Kluyveromyces lactis: one gene and its partner. The protein of the gene in region 1 interacts with the protein of each later gene in a pairwise test. Links are inferred from orthologs where the notes say so. Each region holds a gene or a part of one and is shown on either strand. Other genes may lie near its edges.

What was found.
Region 2: the proteins of PEX5 (region 1) and POX1 interact in a two-hybrid assay, tested with the Saccharomyces cerevisiae proteins (2 studies listed by BioGRID). The link is inferred for Kluyveromyces lactis from reciprocal best matches to the Saccharomyces cerevisiae genes PEX5 and POX1.

The regions. Positions count from the first base shown.
Region 1 is NC_006039.1:1,340,697-1,343,790, forward strand, and holds PEX5 (Pex5p), read left to right. Parts: upstream 1-873; coding exon 874-2,574; downstream 2,575-3,094. Other genes in the region: mRNA splicing protein PRP28, read right to left, coding at 1-362. UniProt on the Saccharomyces cerevisiae protein: Receptor that mediates peroxisomal import of proteins containing a C-terminal PTS1-type tripeptide peroxisomal targeting signal (SKL-type).
Region 2 is NC_006042.1:916,728-920,495, reverse strand, and holds POX1 (acyl-CoA oxidase), read right to left. Parts: upstream 2,483-3,768; coding exon 272-2,482; downstream 1-271.

The sequences.
Region 1 (3,094 bases):
TCTTCAGATAGAATCCTCCAATCCCTAGTGCTCATCTCTTCATATTTCTTTTCAGACCAATGCTTCCCCAAGTAATTGTCGACAATACTTTCATCTTCATTTTGTCGTTTCTTCAAAAGGTCGGCGGATTTTCTTGCTAGGAATAGTAAATCATCTGGTTCATTAGATACTTGTTCCTCGTATAGTTCGTCTTCGTCGAGATTCCTATAATTATCTTTCCTCTTGATAACGGTGTGTGACAATGCCTTTGACGCTTCTTCTTCTTCTGGTTGTGGAAATGTTCGTTTCTTGATCAGAAACCGAGGTTTCTTCGCAGGAACTGTGTCTGATATTAAGTCATCAATACTGACGGGCCTTAGCATGGTAAAGTGTGATACTTTCTACCCATCTTTACAATCGTGTAATATTGCAATACCTTTGAGAAATGAGATGAGCTCCACCGTCTTAAAGCTTAAAGAACTTAAAGGCACAGTTTCTGATATTGTCGCCACGAATAACCTAATACGGTATATGTCCGGGTAATAACATCGCCCCAAACCTGTTCCGAAAAATCATGGCGATAATCTCAATCAATCTCTGGAGCTTTGAAAAACTCCAGAGATTGATGAATCATGATTTAAACAAACTAACCGAACACTTTCATGACATTGCCAAGGTTGAATTCATATATAACTGGATTCATCAACATATCAAATCTACATACTTTCTACGCAGAACTTGTCATTGTGTTCATTTGTTTGAGCTAGTAGCTTTATTATCAATCATCAAGGGAGCTAAAAGGGTTTACTAAGCATAGACTAAGGGAGCTCATCAAGGGAGGTGGTAGAGTTTAAAAACAAGAAAATATCCCATCTCATTTGACATAATACAATTATGAGTGCAGATTGTTCCGTTGGATCAAATCCTCTCGCGCAGTTGAATAAACATGCCCAGCAGAATCCTGCTCTGAGACAAGTGGGGTATCAAAATCCGGCCAGTAATGTTGCTCAAAACTTCAAAACTCATGTGAATGAAGTATCCAATGCAAATCGTTTTCAAATGGACCAGTTTATGAACAGGTCACCTGGTTTTTCTGATGGTCAGTTGGGAATGGCGCCTGTTCCTAGTGCTATTCTTTCGCATGGTCCTCGTTTTGGACTAAAGAAACAAGATAGTGGAAGCAGTAATATGTCAGCAGGCGATACAGCTCAGCATTCCAGGAGCTGGGGTAATGAATTTAATAGCAGATCTCCTCAACAGGGTTTAGCCAGCAGAGTCAATAATGTTGAAAGAATAAGCAACACAAATTCTATGAGTTCATACAGGCCTGGCATGTCCCGGATCGGGAGGCCGATGATGCATACAGGTATTTCTTCATTACATAATTATTCTCACATGTCTCAGCAAACACCGCAAATGTCCAGTGATGATGGTGTTCTCGCTGACAAGCAGTGGAATGAGCAGTTTGAAGCCTTGGAGAAGGCTGTGGCTGAAAATTTGACCATGGAGGACAATAAAGAGGAAACCAAGGAGGAGATAGTAGTGGAGGATGGATATCAAGCAGACTTCCAAGAAGTCTGGGATAAGTTACAAGCGGAGACGGCTGATAATAATTTGGAAACAAGTGATTCTCAATGGGAGAAAGATTACGCTCGCTATATGACTGGTAAAGCAACACATATTCCACCTTACAGATTTGATAATGATAACCAATACATGCATAATCCAAATGCCTATGAAATTGGATGTATCCTAATGGAAAATGGGGCGAAGCTAAGTGAAGCTGCATTGGCTTTCGAAGCTGCTGTGCAAGAAGACCCCGCGCATGTAGATGCATGGTTAAAGCTTGGATTGGTTCAAACACAAAACGAAAAAGAAATGAATGGTATTAGTGCGCTTGAGCAATGTTTAAGCCTAGACCCCACTAATCAGCAGGCACTCATGACAATTTCTATCAGTTATATTAATGAGGGATATGATCTGACCGCTTTCAGCATGCTCAACAGATGGCTAGATAGTAAGTACCCTGAGTTAACACGCTCCCCTACCATTGATGAGGCCAATATCGATAGGTTTAATTTGAGCAAACAAGTAATCACGAAGTATTTGCAAGTAGCTAACGCCTTGCCTCAGGTGGATCCAGAAGTTCAGCTCGGTTTGGGAACGCTTTTCTATGCCAATGAAGAGTTTGGTAAGACAATTGACTGTTTCCGCACCGCATTAGAAGTCAATCCAAATGACGAATTAATGTGGAACCGTTTGGGAGCCTCTTTGGCCAATTCAAACCGTAGCGAAGAAGCTATCCAGGCATACCACAAGGCCCTTGCCTTGAAACCGTCTTTTGTGAGAGCTCGTTATAACTTGGCCATTTCGTCAATGAATATTGGCTGTTATAAAGAGGCTGCAGAGTCTCTGCTCTCTGCTCTATCTATGCATGAAGTAGAGAATGTTCCAATTACTGGATCAGTCGTGCAATCTAACAATATTCTGGAGACCTTAAAGCGTTCCTTTGTCGCCATGGATAGGAGAGATTTGCTAGAAAAAGTCATGCCGGGCATGGATCTACAGCAATTTCGTAATGAGTTTAACTTCTGATAATGCAACGCAGCGAATAGTCTTTGTTTGATAGGACCATCCTCATATTCATAATGAATTGATCTTTCACCAAGTTTTGCGGAAAAATACATTCGCATAATTAATTACAAGCATTTAGTCGCATATATGTAGTCGTCATTCGATTGTATTCCTCAACGAATAGTGCAGAGGTCCATGCTCACGATCAGTGTACCAGTCAAAGTGTTATGGTAAGCTGTCGCGGTATCTAGAGACAGATTGCGATTCTATCATTTCTACCGGGTAACATTTTCTTGTTTTGGATTTCTTCATTTTAAAGCGAGTTGCAAGAATTTGAAGTAATGTCAACAGAGTAAAAATATATGTTCTCTATAGATAAACTCCAGAGTAGTACAAAACAATCATTTACTGGTTGTTGTTTGTGTATCTAAGTGATTTCGTTAGTACTTCAATACGTTAAGGAAATATAGTGTGACTGCTTGGAGCAGAAAATACTATTGATCGCGTTTTGCTGTTTTTCTGAGGCATCCAACTTGATCCG
Region 2 (3,768 bases), on another chromosome or scaffold:
GTCAATTGCCTTTTTATGTAAATGAAAAGCAATAGACGCATAATTCACATGCTTTAGAATCGAAAAATAACTTTGAGCTCCAAATATAAAGTTTGATACGTATCAGGGGCTGGTTTTATGTTTACACAAATACATCATCCACTGAAACGAGATACTTTTGAATTGAGGCTAGATCTTGTCTTACACCTTCCTTATTAACAGAGCAGTATAATATTTTCATTACATTCATTAAGGTTACATGGTTGATACAAAAAAATAAGGGCGTATGTAATTATTTCAATAAAGAATCTAAGGTTTCTGATTCGAAGGAACCTCCTAATCTGTTTTGAAAATCGTCGCGACCAAGCATGCTGGTTAATAATGGATAATATGGTGGTCTACCAGCGCCGTCAGGTTCAAGTTTGTTATTATTTGTCACTTCATTGAAATAATTGTGATAAATGTCACCATCGTAATATCCGATAGGGGCATTAATCATCGCATCTGGTAGTTTAAAGGCATCTGTCAATGCTATACATTCTTTCCTTATTTCAGGTAATAGTTGCAATAATCTTGGCTGTAGCACTTGTGACATTTGATCTGACGTCACAACTTTCAACAAAAGGAATTCACCAAGATGTTGATCGATGAAATACAAAGAAAACAATTCATATAGCTTCCATAGGTAACCTTTCGTGTAAGCATCTTTTACTGATGCTTCAGATTCATTGTTTAACTTGTCTTGGTATGTCAAGAGCATAGAATGAATTGCATGGAACTTTGAAATCTGAACTAAAGTTTTGGATAACGAATCAATTTTGGTACCCTTTGAAATCAACTCTACCACATGGTGGATCAATCTAATAATCATGACGGCCCATATTTCCGTGAAATCTTTCTTGTTGTCAAATTTGAAGGTCAGGTCCTTGGACAAGCTCTTACCAATAAACTGAGGAGTCAAGTATTTTAATGAGTCGGTAGTGACAGTAGTATTTTTACCCCGTGAGATATCAGCAAACTTCTTAACAATACTCTTAGCTGATGTTAATGAGAGGATATTGTTGTCACCTTCCCAGGTACATTGAACAACCCAGTCATTGTAGCCTTTACCAAATCCATTGTAGGAAGAGTATCCATGGCCACCGCATGTTTGCCTGAGATCATCAATCAATTTGGCCACCAACCACGTATTAGTAGCTTTTAATGAGGCAGAATCAATGAATAAATCCTTCAACTTATTACTAACATTAATCAATTTTGCTTTATCTGCTCCTGCCTGATGCAATTCCATTAGGGTTGAAATATAGGTTCCCATCAATTTATGTGCAGTGGGTGCCACCAAATAACAAAGTGCCAACTGCGGCAACACACGGTATTGGTGCAAAGGATAGTCAATCAATTGAGTTTCATTACCTTCAGGACCAAACTGCTGTCTACCTACGGCATAACGTGTTGCAATAATTGCAAATTTGGAGCCAAATCTGAAGGAATCCATAACCATGTTAACACGGCCACTCAACAATGCACTGTACCCTGAAATCTGATCCAATAACGGTTGCGTTTGAACCTTCGGTGGAGAACCAGGAATAACCTTGGTAAATCTCTGTAGCATGAACTGTCTTGGAATGACAACATTCTTGAATTGAATCCAACCGTTATCAATTCCGTCTCTACCCATTTTTGCACCTATATCACCAATCATTATACCTGGCAATAAGTTGAGGGTTTTCTCATCTCTTAGAGGAACAACAAACGTCTTGACACCATAATCCTTACCATTGACTATCAACCTTGCATAAGCAGTGGTATGGGTTGCTGAATGAGCAGCACCACCAATCCACCATTTAGTTGCCAGCAAGTCTGGAGTATTAATTTTGAAAGTGTCAGAACTAGGGTCATAGGTAGCCGTAGTTTGTAATTGAGCCACATTTGAACCATGTCCCAATTCCGTCATAGCAAAACAACCATAGATACCCTTCAATAAAAGAGCTCCCTTTTCTTGTAGCCAATAATGGATCTGCTCGTCGGTACCATTACCCTTGATACAATTCCCGAAAAGTCCTAGATGAACTCCAATTCTTGTGGATAAACCTGGATCGATGTTCGCAACAAGTGATAATCTTCTATCAAAGATAGATAGATCCTTGTTCGTTAACAATTTCGAGTCCTTCCTTTCTAAGTTTTTTACCAAATCATCTTTGAACTCTCTTTGTTTGGTTTTCACATCGTGTTCCATATAAAGCGATAACCTGGCAATTCTTCTTGCAGTAATCTCTCTTTCCTGAGACTTCGTAATATCGTAATGATCCGTATCCGTCTTTAAAATAGGGTCATTGATAATTTCTTCGATCAAATCATGGGTCAATTTCGCTTCTTGCTCTCCATTTTCCAAAAATACATTCAACTGGTCAATATCTAATTTTGATTCTTGTCTTTCCTTAGTAATGAAGTTCTTGGCATTATACGTAGACTGATTTTGATCTACCGTAGATTGTCTAGTCATTTTTTGTCTTGATTATCTTATTTTGTAATCCTTCTTAAAGATATGTGATTTCGGAATTATCGTAATCACACACGCAAGGTTCTCAGTATCAATAAAATATTTAAGTGTATCAATCTATTATCTTTTACTGGAATGTTAATCTTTTCTTGTAGAACTGTTTCGATGTAGTTCTTTTATATAACATAATTTGGGGTAAGAAAACGCTGACGCATGACAAAGAATATATACAAATTAAAGAGAGGCGCCTAAATTCTCACGTGGTTCAGAACAAATGAAGCCAAAGGTACGCATTATGTGGGCGTTAAAGAAAAGGAGAAGGATTAACTCCAGAGAAGGGGACAATATGATATGGCCGAGAGTTTCCCCACAAAAAAAAAGTTCAGGGATTCAGATAATACGCTAATCAATCCGCGCTAACTCCAAGGGCACTAAACTAGCACTAGTCAATATACCGAGCGAGCAATATAATGCGAAACTGAATGCCTTCAAGGTAATTAAATAGAAGATCACACCAGCTGTTACTAGTGTTTTAGGATAGAGATAATCGCAGCTTAATGAACAGAGAATAAAGTAATTGGAGTTTGGATATGTAAGCGCATGCTTCAAGCGTGCCTTCGCTGGGCGGGCTTAATTTACCCACGCCATCCGATACCCTTCCGGCGTTAATATTCTGTAACCATTTCTCTGCTTCTATATTCTTTCCTCATTGCGAGTGCACATTATGTGCAGTAGGGGTTTCCAAGTTTCGGGATGACTGAAATCGAAATCGGAGCTAGCACATAGGGAGAACTGCTGGTGAGGAGAAATGTGATAAAACGGATCGTCAGTAATGACACGATGCATTTCCGGGTAACGTGACAAACAGAATGGATTTGGAGAAAAGGGGGTCTAATATTGTTACCCGGATATAAAACTTCGTTGTCTCCTTTTTTTTTTTGAATATGCTGGTCACGTTACGTGAAAAATGTGGTGCAGTAAACATATATATATATGCTTGTATATAACCATAATACTTATTACCCGGCCGAGGACATTCTCTAGTTCCATTTGATATTCAGAAGCAAGTAAGCAACGAGTAAGGCTGAGTTGTGGATTAGTGATAGGCCACAAGCTCAATTCAAAATGTTTCCTCTATCTTGTGACCCATGACATATATATTCGATGTACCGTTTGTTTTCCTTTTGTTTAATAGGCTCCCCCTTTTTACCAGATTCTGTATCTTGTTTGTTTGGTGATCTTTTGAATTGAAATTACCTTCATTCCATGAAAATAAGTGAATTAAGCAC